3 linked regions of the Drosophila melanogaster genome follow. The protein of the gene in region 1 interacts with the protein of each later gene in a pairwise test. Each region holds a gene or a part of one and is shown on either strand. Other genes may lie near its edges.

The links.
Region 2: the proteins of AstC-R1 (region 1) and CG9498 interact in a two-hybrid assay, tested with the Drosophila melanogaster proteins (one large-scale study listed by BioGRID).
Region 3: the proteins of AstC-R1 (region 1) and CG17781 interact in a two-hybrid assay, tested with the Drosophila melanogaster proteins (one large-scale study listed by BioGRID).

The regions. Positions count from the first base shown.
Region 1 is NT_037436.4:18,557,427-18,563,907, forward strand, and holds the start of AstC-R1 (allatostatin C receptor 1), read left to right. Parts: upstream 1-2,831; 5' UTR 2,832-3,278; intron 3,279-6,481.
Region 2 is NT_033779.5:6,348,059-6,353,304, reverse strand, and holds CG9498 (uncharacterized protein), read left to right. Parts: upstream 1-2,270; 5' UTR 2,271-2,343; coding exon 2,344-2,717; intron 2,718-2,781; coding exon 2,782-2,950; intron 2,951-3,014; coding exon 3,015-3,746; 3' UTR 3,747-3,912; downstream 3,913-5,246. Other genes in the region: ppk7 (pickpocket 7), read left to right, coding at 17-149, 207-260, 322-564, 668-981; CG9497 (uncharacterized protein), read left to right, coding at 5,154-5,246.
Region 3 is NT_033777.3:24,372,122-24,378,050, reverse strand, and holds CG17781 (uncharacterized protein), read left to right. Parts: upstream 1-2,389; 5' UTR 2,390-2,509; intron 2,510-3,079; 5' UTR 3,080-3,140; coding exon 3,141-3,967; intron 3,968-4,032; coding exon 4,033-4,221; intron 4,222-4,286; coding exon 4,287-4,560; 3' UTR 4,561-4,595; downstream 4,596-5,929. Other genes in the region: CG33342 (HDC15381), read right to left, coding at 346-487, 561-671, 728-966, 1,019-1,186; CG17782 (uncharacterized protein), read left to right, coding at 5,315-5,648, 5,871-5,929.

The sequences.
Region 1 (6,481 bases):
TGTGATACTGCTGAGCGCGTAAATCTACCAAAATCAACCATTTATCGTAATGGAGTTCTGAAATTACACCAAACTAATAGCTGCATAGGGAACTCTATTTATTTGCATACATCGGCCAACAGAGTTCATTAAAAATTCATTGGGGCTCGCGACTTTGCCAACTCACTTGAATATTTAGCCGAGCTTGTTGGAAATCAATTTCGGAAAATTGCTGGTATTTATATGGAAATTCAACGGTGCAGGAAAGTATAAGGGAAAAAATTAACAGAATTTATAAGAAAAGTTTGCCTGCTACCGAAAACTTTTTCACAACAAGAGCAACCACGAAAAGGTCCAGGGAATGGGTTTTAAAATGATAAACTGACCCTCATCGAGATTGTCGTCCTTATGCGTCTGCATTCCCAGACGCCACCGACAAAACCGCCCAAAACTTTCCCAGCCACGTCGTCTGTGTTTTGGCCAACTTAATTCAATCAAGCGAAAATTGCTTTAAAGTCGAAAATGATTTAATATTCTTGTGGGAGTGATTTCAAAGCAAACTTTAATGAGCTGATTCCTAGCAGCAGTAATTACTCTGGACAAGCAAAAATGCGTTCTTGAAATTCAATTATCTACATTAAGCTACATATTTTTGCGGCCAGTTGTCAAAGTGAGGCTGACAAATAAGCAAAAGCTGGTAATGAAATCTTTGAATGCCCTTGAGTAACAAAACAAATTTAAATACGTTAAGCGAAGACAATGCCATTCAGTACAATGTCCTAGATTATGGCTCATTTTATTGACTTTGACTGGTTGGCACTTTTGACGTCGTTGGCTTAATTTCAAATTTTCTTGTTTTCCGGACTTATATTCAAGACACAAATAAATTCTAACATGGCATGCTTAATAGTAATTTTTTTAAACCAGCCAAATTTATTTATTTACATTTTCATAGAACCTTCTGCAACATTTTACCGATAAAAACTATATTTTTTATAGTGTGCTTCGAGCGGTATTTAAAACATATAAACTTTTCACTGGTAGATAATTTAATTTAAAGTTTTGTGTACGACACAGAGGGGACTTTGCTATGGATAAAACTTTTTACGATTTGAGGAATGGTAAACAATAAACATCTCCCAATTTCGGTCGCATTTAAAGCACTTTTCAGTGCCAACGGAAAAGGATTAAAGCAAACTGTCGGAAATTCAACCAGAAGGATTAAAAGTTTTGCTCAAAAGGCCAAACTAAAGTTTGACTCCGAAGAACGTCGACAGTTGCCATATTTTCTGTGTCACTCTCTTTCCAAAGTTTCTTCTAGATATCCCCCAACTCTTACCATATGTTTGCCAGCTTTTTTTTCACTGTCATCTAACCAAGTCGAACTTTTTTCTAAACGAAAACATCAACTGGCTCCACATGGAAATTATTGCAGCAAATTTCTTTCCAAGTTGGGTGCGAACAAAAACGGAAAATTTCCTGTTCTTCTAATGACCAACAGAGCAAGGGAGATAACTCCGGGTTTGGGCCAGGTGGATAGTTTTCCAAGTGCACGGCAATTAGATTTCGACGCCTGGGGCTTCTTAAGTTGGAGCTCTGAGACGGTGGCAGTGCTGAGATATGATTTATTTACCCAAAAAATGTAGGAGGAAACTAAAGATTGGTATCTGAAACGCAATCACTTTCCAAACTTAATTTAAATATCTGATAAATTTGCAAACTAACTTTGTAAACTTTGGAAAAAATATGTATGAATGATTTATATCGAGTGTGATGTTTGGTAACGAGGCAAGAACATATTTTTAATGTTTTTAAGAATATATATATGATATAGCACAGTCTTGCTATATCATATCCTAAGTAAATTGTGAGAGCATGCATTTCTTGTCCTCCTTTCCATGTCATTACTGATTTCAATTATTGCAAACAACTGTATGCAAAATGCATGCAATTAAGGCTAGAATAATCAATCAGCAATCAAAGCCTTTCCGAATTCAAGCTAATACACGTACATTTGCAACTATAATTATAACATTGACTGTCCCAATACCGATATAATTTTAAATGCAGTGCCATACCTGAACTACGAAACAATTGTGCCGAAAATAATATGTTATGCAAACACATTTGTGTTATTGGAATTTGGTAAAAGTATAAATAACACATTACGTATACGGCCGGTAAGCCATCCCATAAACGATTTTGAACATTTTAATTATAAGGAATTATAAATCTGATAAAATAAGGGTATATGCTCGCTAATATATGTTAAATTTAGAGTAATTAAATTTAGGTCCAAAATAACTGGAAATAATTTTTATAACAGCATGATACCAAAGGAAGGTAAAACTTTTTAAAATTTCTTGTTTTAGCATGAGATAGATAACACATGGAAGTAGTTTTGATTAACCTATAGCGACAACACATCTCAATATTATACTTTGATAATCCTTGTTCTTATATCCTTCTAAATGGCACCAGTAGAATCAACAAGCACTTGCCCAAAATGGCAACAGAACTGCAAGCGCTAACATTCGACTGTTGTTGGCCAACGAAAGTGAGAGTTCGTATAAGAGAGAAAGTGTCGGCGGGAGAGTCTCCCTCACCGCGTGCTCTCCCGACCAACTGTTAATTGAGGAAAATTGCAGCTGGGAAAACGGCAGCAGACCGCAACACGCATCAGGCATCAGGCCAATCGGGCGACGAACCTGAAAGCCGAGCACCGAGCGCAATTGTGGATCCGAGCGACTCTGCAGTCGGAAAACTCGCATCGGAAAATTCGCATCGGAAAACTCGCATGCACCATAACAAAATTCGCCGGCAAATGCGGCGCGCAGTATGCAAAACAACACCGGAACGTGCAGTTCAGTCACTGTATCTGAATCTAAAATAATAATATAAAACCAAACTACGAGCAAACCCAGGGTAAAGTAAACAAAAACTTCGCCAGCGCCAAAGACCAAATTCGATGAACGTGCGCGAAAAACTCAAACCAAATAGGGTGAGAGTGGCGAAAAAGTTGGGCGGGTGATAGATAACCCCCGGGGGCTTTTCCTGCTGCCTGCATCCAATCCAAATTAGCGGCCAAAAACGCAAGGAAAATAAACAAATAATTTTACTACCAGCCGCCGTCGAATCACAAATAAATCCGACGTAGAGTGAAAAATAACATTAGCGTCGCAATCCGAGGAATTGCAGAAACGCTTGCCAAATATTTTGAAAACCCCGAAAAGTGCGTGGTGTGCCATTTTATCGGATTCGAAAGGATGAGTGGCTAGATGACACAATATATTCAAGTGGTAAGCAAAATGTGCCTCGAGGAGCATCGAACGGGTTGCCTTGTGTGCACATCTAAAACGATTGGGTGCTATCTATCTCCAATGTGATTAGAAATATGTATGTACTATATAGTAAATAAAAAATAAGCTCTCCTCATCTACATATAAATATAATCCTAATTCTAGTTTTTGAACTTAAATTAAATATAAATATAGTTTAACTTGAAGGGTTTGCAATACTTTCGCTCTGTGCTTGGGTTTTCCATTTTCAACGTTCAAATGTTTGTGTGCGTTGAAATTTATCAGATAACTGAAATTCTGTGCGAATAGCAATTTGTAACTGTTGAATGTCTTGCGTTGAGGGAAAGAGGTTGGTCTTCCTACGAGGCGATGGGATGGGTTGAGGAACGAGGATGCCCGATGATGTGGAAACTGAGAAGGGCTGACCATCGACGGCAGCCGCAGTAAACCAGAAAGGATTTTGGGGAAACGAAACAAAATTTGACAAATTAGGGAATGCTGGAATGGTCGTAAATGTTATTCAGAGAAGTGCTATGCTGAGAATAAATGCAGAAATTGTTACGGAGACATGTTGATTAATTCGTTATGTGAGATGTGCAGAATAAAAATGCCAATTTAAGAAAAGAAATGCCAAGGCCACAAGTAATTTTCTTAATAAATATCCTGCATACATATTAAAGTGCAGCAGAAATTATTTGTTATTGGCTCATTACTCCTAGGGGTGTGGAATTTTGTAAACTTGATTTAATTGTAAGTAATTCCCATTTTATTATGAGAAAGTTAACCAAGTGGTTCAGAACCAAAGCTATGAGCTACTTACAATTTTTATAGAAGCCCTCTATGTTGTTCAGCTATGAAACTCAAGTTCCTTTAGCCTCCGTAGTTCCCCCTTCACACCAGATAACCCGGCGAATGAGCTCATCCAGCTAAGTAAAGTCCACTAAAACCGAACACCCCCTCCCCGCAAGACCAACTAAAAGGCACAAGGAGGCGGAGATAGCCACTGCCACCCCATGACCATAAAGCCCAATCAAAAGGCCGTTGCACTCGCTGACTAACGGACTAACTGAGTGAATGACGTGCCCTGGCCCAATCCTTCAGTCAATCGGTTTGATGGCCTGAGTCCGAATGTGGAGCTAGAAGCAGCACGGGAAGACAACGCAAACAGCAGGCGAAAGTGAAGGAGCAAGTCACGGAGGAGGAGCAAACGAAGCGTTTCAGCAGCTGCTGCTGCGACTCTGCAACTCGGGGCGTGTAATTTGTCAGACAGATTTCTTTTAGCGCCAGGACACAACCCCTCCCATCCAATCCAATCCAATGCTTCCTACACACCCACACTCAGCAATTGCCCACCCACAAAAAATACCGCCCACGTCATTGCAACAAAACTGCTTCCTTCCTGACTTTTTTGGCCATGCTCTTTGAAACTGAACTGGGCGTCCGACGAGGCTGGGATTGCTCTTACAAATCAGATATTCCCTTTAATTATATAATTTACAAATCTTTGTTCGTGAGTTTATACATTACATACATAAAATCGGAAGTGTTTTAATTTGCTTTTACTTTTGCATTTAAAAATGAATTATAATCAAGTTGATATAGTATGCAATTTTTTAGCTTGAAACTATAAATTGTACACTTTTAAATCCGTTTTATTTTATAATTTTAAATCAAGGATCTTAACAGAATAGACATTAAAAATTGTAGTCTTTCATTATAGGTTTGCACCATTGGTGACATATTTTGTCAATGTTTCTGATACCAAGTAGCATTTGGCAAAAATGTGGTTAAGATAAGAAAAAATGTATAAAACACCCCGGACTTTTATTAAAACCCATTGAATAAGTGAAAATGGGAACAGTCTGTGCAAAGGTATTGAAAAAGGAAGGGAAAGGAACGAGCCAGACATTGACATTTCAGTGCAAATGAAGTGATAAAACGTAAAGGCAAAGCGGCGTCAGCTAGAAAATTGCCAAAGTGGGTAAAGGAAGTGTAGGGAAAAGTGTGGAAGAGAGAGACAGACATAGTTGGGGAGAAAGAGACGGACGACTGAGCTAGATAGAGAGGGCCTGGCAGACAAAGCGCGTCGAAAATGCGTCTAATTTGATGGAAGCGATGCATGCCTTAACCTTTCGTCGGCGTCAGGCAAACAGACAGCAGCAACAACGAACACAACGATGACAGGCACCAAATGATAGCATTTCCTCCCAACTCAAAGGATCCGACTTAGCCAAGAACAAGGACACTGGCAAGGGAAAGGGAAGGGGAAAGAGTAGGAGAAGGGACCAGCCAACTGGGAGAGGATGAGCACCGGATTCAAATGGCGGAACAAGTGCCAGAGATGCTGATGTGGCGCCTCCTCAGCTGCTGACAACAAATTGATGGCCAAGGATGCACAGAAATTCCTCGGAAATTAGTCAACGCACAAGGGATTCCCACAAACTTCACTTAAAGGGGAAACCGTTCTGAAATATTAGACCGTTGTTAATATCCCAATCCTTCATGCTTTCCCAAAACAAAATTCACTTTCTTTCCTTAATCAGAACGAAAAAATATCCAAAAAAGTCCCTCAAAAATACAAATTTAGATTTAGTCTTTATTTTATCATATCACAAACAAATAAAATCTCAAATATTTAAATATTTAAATTTAATCGTAAAAATGATTCAATATTGAGCAAAATATATAAATTTACACACTATAGTACTTTTAAAATGGGTTTTCAAAATTCTGATGCATTTCATTTACATATAACAAAAAATATATTATATTTTATCGGAATTCCCTTCTGAAAAGTGCGTAAAACTTTTCCATCACATTTTCCAAATAATTAATTAAGTGGCACAAACCAGTGTTTCCGCTAGAATCAGCCCCTGGGTTAAAGTTTTCTGCTGCTAATTAGAGAATTTTCAATAATTATGCATCATAATTGACAATTCAGTTTTTCACTACTCATCACTTGCGGACGGATGGGTCTTTCCAGCACCGTCAACTTTGAACTTTTTCTGCTGCACCAGACGACAGAAAACGAACAAAACTTTTGCAATTAATTACGGACAAGACCCCTAAACTAAGAAGGGGTTAGATCGGGCGGTGGGTTACGTTCAACTTATCCCATAGAAAATACAAAAATTAAATAATAATAATGAACGGGATAGGAGGAGCTCTGTATTAGAGAGATCTGCTGCAATTAGAATTTTTTT
Region 2 (5,246 bases), on another chromosome or scaffold:
CTTTGGATGCCTCAAGGATGAGCACAACAGCAAGGATTTCAAGTCGCTGCAAGGATACGTTTACATGATTGAAAACTGTCAGTCCGAGTGCCATCAGGAGTACTTGGTGCGCTATTGCAACTGCACAATGGACCTACTGTTTCCACCGGGTGAGCACGTTATCAAAATCGTTACCAAATGATCGATTCATTGGTTTCTCTGACCAGGTCAATATCGATCGTGTCGGGCGCAGGATTTGCTGTGCCTCGCTGAGCACAATGGTTAGTAGGAGTCCAGGCTCACCAAAGAAGACCTTATAAAACCAGTATCCCTCACCCGCAGACCTGCTCATCTACTCCCACAATCCCGGCGAGAAGGAGTTCGTTCGCAACCAATTTCAGGGAATGTCCTGCAAGTGCTTCCGCAACTGCTACTCCCTCAACTACATCAGCGATGTCCGGCCCGCCTTCCTGCCACCGGATGTGTACGCAAACAACTCCTATGTGGACCTGGATGTGCACTTTCGCTTCGAGACCATTATGGTCTATCGCACCAGCCTCGTCTTCGGCTGGGTGGACTTAATGGGTCAGTACGAAATCAAATAGCTTCTATAATCCCGTAATTTGTTCCACAAACTATGTATTAAGAGACATAGCTAATTAATAAATAATCAGGATTTTTCCACCAGTTAGCTTTGGAGGAATTGCCGGTCTTTTTCTTGGCTGCTCCCTAATTAGTGGCATGGAACTGGCCTATTTCCTGTGCATTGAGGTGCCGGCCTTTGGGCTGGATGGACTGCGTCGAAGGTGGAAGGCTCGACGGCAGATGGATCTGGGCGTAACCGTGCCCACGCCCACTTTGAACTTTCAACAAACCACGCCCAGTCAGCTGATGGAGAACTACATTATGCAACTGAAGGCTGAGAAGGCGCAACAGCAGAAGGCGAACTTTCAAAACTGGCACCGCATAACATTTGCTCAAAAGCATGTTATTGGCAAGTGAATCGAGTGAGCGAATAAAATATTCATTTAAATTAATTTAAAATGCTATGATTCCGTTTGGTTTTAAAATATTTTTTCTAGTGTTTTAAATTATTTTGTGCCACACCGAAATTACTGAGTGTGATAACGCAAAAGCTCTGTGGAAATGATTTAATCTATTGTTAGCGTGTGCGTGATAAGTTGGATGGGCTGGGCTTTTACTACTGAGGCAATATTCATTACCTACGGTCAGGAGCGGATTAGCTTCGATTTGCAGGCACCAACTATCAAACAATTATTGATTTTTAAGAAAAAAGCAGCATTTTATTTATTTTATGTTAATTCCTAAATGAGTTGGTTAACTTGATGAGAATTTGCGTTAATCATCATACAAAGAAAATACTAATAGAACTAAGTGAGAAACTAGGTGATTATATAAATCTGGTCCAAATCCCCCGCGCTGTCCAAATCCTTCCCTGAACCCGTTGATGTTTAACACTATCATCACCGTGAGTAAAAAATACACGTGTATATATGAGATGGACGGCACGTTTAAATGATTCTAGAATTGTATATTCCGATACGGATGCCTCAAGCAGAGTTGATAACACCCGGAGCAAATACCACGTCTGTTGACCCACTGACGGGCGGTGTTCCAGCAGCGAAGCACCGCCTGTTGTCAATCCGAACTATCAGCCGAATCGAATCTCAATCTCTCCATAGAGCACCTATGACGTGGTCGAATGACTTTGTTCAACAGGTTGCTGCTATCAAAACAAAACGAAAACAAGAGCTAAAAATTAATTAGGGTTTCATCAACCCACAAGCTAGTGTATTTCGTTGGATGTGGATGACTATGCAAAACGCATAGAGTTAGACACTAGACTGAGACTTTTGGCTCTTAGAAAGCTCGAGGCAAACAGTGGGTCGCAGTTGATATGTAAGTAAGTAAAAATTTAAGAAAGTAAGTAAGAAAATGTCACAAAAAATAGATAGCTATAGATATTGCACAAGGGTATGGCTTAGGAAGCACAACATTGTAAAATTTAATAAAGAAATATATAACAGATTATTTTAAGTGAAACTTTAAAGAGCCCCAATACATATTTTGTAGACGACTTTTATATTTAAATAGAACTAGAATATAAATTCAATTCATATTCGACCCACTATACCTTTTACCACCTAATTAGTTTATTTTTACGATGACACCACAGTCATACGAAAAGCTCGGAATTGTCGTATAAACATTTCCCAAAAAAACTAACACTATTGCAAGCAAATATAAAACGCTGAGTTCTACGAGGCCGCAAAATCAGTTGGCTACGAAAGGCAAGCGTTAAGGTTTCGATCGGAGGTGTATCGCTTTAGTTAGAGATTCGAAATGGTGGTCATTAAGAACGAGCAGAATATCTCGGTGCCCGAGTATCTCAACGAGCACTTCTTCACAGAGACCCTGGAGGAGGGTTTGCGGGAGTCGAAGGTGACCCTGAAGGAGATCAATTTTGCGTGGGGCAGCAATCCGGGGGACAACTATTGCTCGGCTATCTATCGTGTCGGAGTCTCGTTCGCTAGATGGGCCGACGGTGGGGAATCCCCGGTGACGGAGCAGCTTTCGCTAATTGTGAAGACCATTCCGATCACCGAAGCCACTCAGTTTCTGGAGGATGTCTGTGTGTTCATCAAGGAGAAGCAGACCTACACTGATGTCTTGCCGCGATTGGATATCCTCAGCCGTGGCGACACATTCGGAGCAAAGTAAGTTAATGAAAGTTTTGGATAAAGGCACACAGTGCTTACTAGCATCTCTATCTCACATCAGATACTATCACTCTGTGAAGACTCCGGTGCAAACGATCGTGTTCAGTGACCTCACGGTAGAGGGATTCAAGGTGGCCTCGCGTGAAAAAGGCCTGGACTGGAACCACGCCTCACTCATTCTTCAGCAACTGGGAAAGTTCCATGCCACCTCCATGGTGCTGGCCAAGAAGGTAGCAGTGATGACTCTGGAGAATCCTCGAACTTCGTAATGACTTCCTTTTTGCAATTCCACAGGATCCCGCTATTGTGAAGCAATACACGCGTGGCATGCTCAGCGAGGACATCCTGATGAAGAGCGACACCTTCGAGCAAATGTTCGGCGGCTTCCTCAAGGGCCTCATCAAGAGCTCAGCGAGCTGGGCCGGCTACGAGAAGATTAGCAAGCACTTGCAGCGCCTTATGGACAACTTCCGGAACGTGTGTGCGGATGCGCCCAGGCCGAGGAAGGGTGATCGCTACGTGGTGCTCAACCACGGGGATTTGTGGACCAATAACTTCATGTACGGATACGATAACGCTTCACAGCCGGACGTTCCCACGCGTGCCATCTTCGTGGACTTCCAACTCAGCTTCTATGGCAGTCCGGCCTGCGATCTGAACTTCTTCCTGAACACCAGCATCAAGCTGCAATTGCTGCAGGAGCGCCGCGAGGAGCTCATCAAGGTGTACTATGCATCCTTCAAGGATGCTCTGGAGTACGCCCGCTTCGAGGACATTCCCAGCTATGAGGATCTGCAGTACGAGCTGCGCAGCCGCGAAACCTACGGACTTTTCGGCATGTTCGCCTTCCTGCCCATGATCACCATGCCCAAGGAGCTGGCCCAGGACAACAGCATTGAGAACATGCAGGACGAGGCCTTCAAGCAGCGCAAGATGGATGCCATCTTCTCGCAAAAGTTCCTGAACGACCACCAAAAGTGGGCTCTGAAGCGAGCTGATTCACTTGGCGTCTTCGGGGACTACTGAAAAGTGGCATGAGTATTATAATGGTTGGGGTTCTGTGATATAAATGGAGGCTCTTCCAAGGCACACATCCTTGATATAGCTATATTAGCTTTCGGCCTGAGAATGTAAATGTTTTGGATTGATTAAAGTACCAAACCTGACTTCAATGCAATAAATCAAACTAACGAAATGTATTTTTTATTCAGATTTCAGGAATATGGTATCAGACAATTTTCAGGGGCTTGCACAACACATAACCACTTATGTTTTCAATTCATAGTCGCTTAAGTATACCACTTATTCTATGAGTGTACGCTGATTTCTGATGCCTGAGAATGAGAAAATATTAAGATAAGATCACATTGACGCAATCGAATCAGGGACTTATACATATATGGTTACATTTCGGGTTGTAGGTTTCGAGATCCGAAGTAACCATAAAAACGATTGAGTTTGGAAACCTTATGGAAGCACAGTCAGCTTGAGCTTGAATTAATAAATTACACAGTATATATTACGCATTTCTTATAAAGCTTACAATCATCTTGAATAACCACGTAGGTATTAGATAATAATACCCTTAGCGATCACGTGCATTCAGAATTTGATGATTTCATGGTTGTTTCCTTCAAACATTCTCAGTCACTTAGTTTCTGCAGTCTGGGATTATTTTATTAGGGCTCTATCATTAGGTCAACTTATAAAAAAAAGTAGAATAGTGTTATCTTCTGTCTAATGTGTTTATTAAAGCTATAGCTTTTATACAACAGGTTGCATATATAAAGTACCGAATGAGGTATATTCTTTTTATAATACCCATCACCTAAAATGTAGGAGGATAGTAGCCATCTTAATAATATCATCTAAACCTTGTGTTTAGTGCGATATATGGCCTAATCATATTACCTTTAAGGTAAGATATTGAATGTAATCATGCCAAACAGATTTAATATAAACGATTACGTACAAATATAATATATTTAAGAAGCGTTCGCATATAATTAGCTTCGGATTGACACTTGACTGAAAGCGTTCCCTTATCAGAAACTCGTTGGATTAATGCAAATTCGAATCAAAACTTGATAAGATAATGAGCTGCCAATCGCTGCAAGTGGAATTCATCCAGCAGAATTCGAAAAATATTCAAACTGAATATTGTCGGCAGAGTTCAAAACAGGAAGTCAAATTACTAGTTAAATGCGCCTAAAAAGGTCGACGTCTCCGCGTTGCGTGTTTTACAAATATCGAAAAATTAGACATCTCGTTGTCGTCTATTAAAGTCTATATATAACTGAAAGTATAATACTACACATAACTGGATACACATAACTATAATTAATTGCGCCGCCGGATTCAGCTGGGCAAGATCATAGCGACACGTATATAAATTGAGCACCGCCTGGTAGCCACTTTTCAAACGATCCCAAGATGTGTAGCATTGTGTTCGACGCGGACGTGGTTGCTCCACCCAGCCACCTGGACGTGCCCTTCTTCGAGGAGGTGCTGGAGACAGCTCTGCGA
Region 3 (5,929 bases), on another chromosome or scaffold:
CTCTGCTGACATTGTTTACAGTTCAACTTGGTTGGAAATTAGTAAAAATCTCACACGAGCACCAGCCACAAAAATAAAAAAAAAAAAAACAGAGACAATAAAAATACCAGCATCTCGAAATCGAAAAGACAAATGCAAAGGAGCACACAGCATGAATTTCGAGAAACTAATTTAAAATAATGTTTCTTAAAATAACATAATGTAATGTAATGTAATAAATAATGTGCACTAGAAACCATTAAATGAACTAGTTTATGAAGCGAAAAGCCTCTAAAATAATATTAAATACATAGAAGTGGGTTTCTTGCTTCAAGAGATTTTCAACCTAATTATTTTTTATTCTACTTAGATAGTTATCCTGGCCATTTGAATGAGTTTATTCCAGAACGCCTTGCTGCAGTCACTGTAAGTTTTCCGGCAATTGGCACCAGCTTTTCCGGCATTCCGGGCATGCAGATACTTTTCAGGCACATTATCCAGGGATGGACTGTTAAATGGTTAAAGATAACAAGTGCTACATTTTGCTTAAGCATTTTAAAGGTACTGAAAACTAGACTTACACCAGCACTGCATTCAGTATCTCGCCAAAAATGCTGTTGTGCATAAAGGGGCGTTGGGATATCTCACAGATACATTTGAGCAGGCAGGCACCTGCATTCCGATCTCCGAGCCTGCAACACGAATAAACCAGTAAAAGGCGATGACAGATGAGCCATCAAATACACACCGCTCCAATCCCGTCTCCACAACATCGTACAGCCAAACTCGGGTCTCGTCCTGGAAAACCCTGCTCCGGATGCCTTTCCTCCACTCCCTGGCGGTGGACAGAAATGTCGAGGTGTTCCAGAAACTCCACCAGTAAATTGGGACAGGCGATGGCACGTATTGCGCCTGGTAGTTGACGAATCCCCAAACCGACTGCACGGTATCCGCCTGCTTGATGGGAAACGCCAAGCCAGCGACAATCTGGGGGAGAACAATTAGGAGCCGGAATGCCAAAGTTGGATCGATGGTCAACCTTGTTTGTGCCCTGACCATTGAAAATGGCCAAGCGTTTGGTGCGACTGAGACTGAGCCCAGGGCTAGCATTTCTATCATTCCCATCTCCTGCAGCACTCGCAGCTAGGACGAACAGCAGCAGGACGGAGGAAGAATTCGGCTGGAACTGTTTGCCACTGGAGTGCATGGTCAACTAATTTTGCAGCCGGTGCAACTTGCGGCAGCATTGGGAAACTCAGCTCTTAGTTTGCCAAAGAAATTGACAGACGGGGAATTCGCAAAGTTAACAGAAAACTGCCATTATACACTGAAGAAATAAGTTTGACGAATCATTGAACTGTAAAATGTCCAATTAAATTGCATCTTAAGCGAGATCTTACCAAAACCACAAAAGTTACAAAAACCACAATTCATATGAATATTTGAACCTGAAGATAATGGTCTATTTAAGTTATTACATTCTACTAAAACGAATGGACAAAATGAATACTGAGCATCGAAACCGCAACTGAAGCTGTGGCCATTCCAACTATCTGAAACACTTACTTCGATACGCAATGACTCCTTAAACCATCTGCCCTTCATCCAGATCCACTTCTCCGTGACTGGAATGGCATTGTACGTATGCTAGGATTCAATGGCCTTTCGGATGTGTAGACTCTGTCCCAGAAAGAATCCTCTCTTGGCACCTGGTTTTGGTTGAAAGCTCATGGCTCTTTGCCCTTCCTTCATGGGTGTTCCTGGTTGTTTATCAGTTTATATCATAAAACCATTAAGATTTTTATTTATCAATTCGCATTAAATAATAGTGTATTTAAGGTTTTTACCCATGAATTAATTAAAAACCTTGCCATAACATTAATATTGGGTTTGGATAACAAGAGGTAAAATAAAATAGAGCAGTTAATGTGAAAATTAAAAAGCACTCAATCAAGCTGAGTATTTCGCCGAATGCGTTAAACGTTTAATCCATCCGAAAGCAGTAGTGATTAAAATATTTTAAATACTAACTATGCGCTACTGTTTTTTTTTTTTTTTTTTGACTGGCTTGTCACTTTAAAGATTATTTATTGCGGTGGCTAGCGCGGCATTGTTAGCGCGAAAAAAAACCAGCAATCACTAACCAAATATAGTAATTAAACAATCTGTTGTCGGGCAATTTGACAATGTACGAAATGAATAGAGTGAAAAATCGAGGAATTAGTATTTCAGCTGCAGGCAATTTCAATTGGGAGATGGAATGCAAATGGATGGGGCTATTTAGCACCTTCTAAAGAGCACTTGGCATGGCACAGAATCGAGTTAACGACACTCAATTGGGTGCTAATTGTACAATTAAACTTGGCCAAACCAAACTGGACCAAAATCGTTGGACGGAATGCGCGCGGCATCAGTTTCAGTAGCAGTTCGAGTTCGATTCGGACAGCTAATGGCATCAACATATCGTAAAATAAAAAGTTTAGGCCCGGCCAAAATCGCTCCCAATCGAGAAACCAATTCGCCCCTAATGGTAATTATCTGCTTCATAAATTCGCGTTCAATTCCGACCGGAGTTTTGGCCCCTCGAAAATGGCAGTGTTTTAATTGTGCAGCCCGATCGGAACGGATTCAAACTGGACCAGCGAGAATCGACCATTGGCCGGCCATTGGATATTGGACATCTCTTGCGCTTCGAATATTGTCGAAAATTGCATTAATTTAACGCATGATTGGCAGTGCCGGCAAATGGAAGCGTCACAGCTAAAGTGAAATTATGCAAATTTCGTCGCCGCTTTTTTCGATTCGAGTGCCCAGGCACGCAGCAATCGGAATGTTCGATTGCTCAATTACACTAGTGAACAAAACTGGGACGCCACTCTTGAGAATAAAAAAATAGGCATAAAATTGATTGGTGCCCTAAAATAGAGCTACATGATGCTCGTTTAAGAGATACTTCGATAGGTTTCAAAAATGTTAACAAACATTAATATAAGAATCCATTCTATTAGTTTACAAATATCACTTATAAAATGTGAATATATTTCAGAGATTAATACTTACTTAATACTTTACAACTCTCCATCAAAAATACTTTCATTAGAACTCCATTTTGGCTGCTAAGTGTTGACCAAGTGACTTTTGCTGGTTTCCATTAAGGACAAATGGGGAAAACAATCAAAGTAATTGGATGTGCTGGAGTCGGCACTCTGCTCATATTGCTGCTGCCTCTTTGCCTGATCCAAAATTATAGTGCACCAAGTGGTAATGGTCACTCGAATGTCTCGCACACAGTGGTCATCACACCTGCTCCTGCTCCCGCTGGCCCACTTGAATCTGGAAGGGATGCGATGTTGCGACTGCATCGCCAGAAACGCTACCTGCTCTTCCCCGAGGGCTCGTCCTTTCAGCTGGTGTTCGACATCATCATACCCATCATAGACTACACCAACTACGCCATCCTGGGCATCACCTGCTCCGTGGCCTGGGAGCTGCCCAGTAAGCCGCCCAGCGAGCTGATTGAAAACGTGCTCACGCGCATCAACGACGGCACCATCGGCACTGTCCGCCGGAACGGCAGCGTACCCGATCCAGAACCTGACCCTCCATCCCAGCCCCTAACCCACTCGCAGAACCTGGAACTGGACAATCGAGGAGCAGACACGGCTAATTGGCAGGCAGTGCACGCACCGCCGGCGAATCCACCGGCATATGCGGCCAATGAGCATGACTCCCACTCGTATTACACGAATATCCAGCGCATCCCGGCCGCTTACCCATATGCAAATGCAAATGCGAATGCGGATGCAAATGCAAATGGACAGCAGAGCCAGGCGGCGATTCCTGCTAATTGGCATGCGCGACAGTCGCCCGCTGAGTGGCAGCAAAGGGTGAAGACGACGGGCGCTGACAACTGGTGGACACGAAATGGACAGCGAGTGCAGCAGAACTGGCGAGAAAAACAGCGCATATGGGGCCCCTCGAAGTGGGAGTAAGTAAACCTAAAAAATATACATATTTAAGTTAAAATATTATTTTAAAAATAATATTTCGCAGCTATGCCTACTCCCAGCGACCCCGAGAAGTGCTACGAGCACCACCCAAACATCACATATATCCCGTTTTCGCTCGGCGGAGGAGGCGACGCAGTCTTGATCAGGATGCCCACTTCGAGCGACTCCACCTGCAGCAGCATCTCAGCTCGAGGCAGCTGCTCTTTGGCAAAATCGAACGCCTGTACAAGTCGTGAGTTTAAGACGCCTACTATAAATTATTTCGCTCAGTGGTGTAATAAACGTGTAATCCTCCAGGCGACGACTAAATGGTACCTCCTGTGTGCTCCGCGCACTCTGCGAGTCCTCCCAAAGGCAACAGCATGTCCTTCGAGGGACGAATGCGGTCAGGCCACAAAGCTTTATAATGGAAATACTCTCGGCCATCTTTCAATTGCCCAGCAGCGATGACGTGGAGGAGCTGGAGGAACTTGAGCTAATGATTTCCCCTAATTATCTGGAGGCACATCGGCAGAAGGGCAACTGTCGGCAAATCTACGGTGACTGTAATCACACGTTCTGGTTGGATTGAACATAAAAACACAATAAAAGTCTGGGAATTATGTGAATGCTGCTATTGAGTTTTAATCAATATTATATGTACAAAAATTAATGGGCACTACAGTAGAAATCAGTGTTTGAATAACTTTGGGGATTAACGAGCTATTTAATATATCTTATAGTTTGTATTGACAACCCACCCAGAAAGCTAGTCGGATATTGTAAAGAAAAGATTGCACAAAAGTCATTTGGAAGTTTCTTCACTTGCAGCTAAAAGCATCTCCCGAGTCGAAGGCGAGCATTTGAGTTTATCACCGGAAAAACGGAGGCTAGTGATCACATTACTTCAACTTCCACTCTGCAGCACTATCGGAATAAGATGGAAGTGTGCTACTTTCGGGATGGAACGAATAAACCAAAAGTTGGGAGCGTGAAAAAGTAATTTGAACCTCTAAATAGACCAATGAGCACACGGAGCAAAAGGCGATGGCAATGGAAGCAGCTCTGCAAGACAAACTACTTGGCAAAGCACAAAAGACGAAAAGTGTGAAAACTAATGAAAGACAAAGGAGGAGGGCAAAAGAAATTTAACGAGCGGAGCTCAAACTCAAACTGGAAACTTTCTGGAGGGAAAGCTGCTTGGCCACCACCACTACTCACAATTAACAGCCAACTTTTGGCCAAGAACGCTTCTGTTGCTGCCTCTCTTTGTCGGTTTGGGCCAGCATCGCGATACTTGGCCAACAGTTGCCGCATGGACAACGCTTCGACAGCAGGTTGAAAAAATGTCGACACGGAAAAAGATGGGGAGCTGCTCCAATGCCATCGAGAAGGGAAATTCCCCGATAGGTAATTGCTGGCCGACCATCCTGACGCTTCTCATCGTGGCCAACTTGGTCGACGCACTGAAGACCGGGGAATCCATCCAGTTGGCAACCGGGAGCCAGCCATCACTGAGCATAAACAATGCGGACGACAGCAGCCTGGAGCAGCTCATCGAGATGAGGCTGAATGAGTCTGCGTCCGCATCCTACCAGAACAACCAGTCAGCCAGCCAGGAGCTGTTGTCCCGGAAACGACGTTATTTGGTATTTCCGGAAGGCAGCTCCTTTCAGATGGGTAAGTCCTCAGTCACGGGACAGTGACGCAGTTAAAGGGCATTTTACATTGAATAGGGGGTGTCGCAATTGCAGTATAAAAATAAATCTCAATCTTTATAAATCTAAAATATTTACAAAGATTGTGACTTTAAACCTTGTCTATTATTACCCCTAACTATGCCACTGTGCCACATAATGCAAATCACATGCCTCAATTACCCCTCCCTCTTCATCCGTTTAGTGTACGATGAGATTGTGGGAGTGGTGGACCACACGAACTACTTGATTCTGGGCATTACG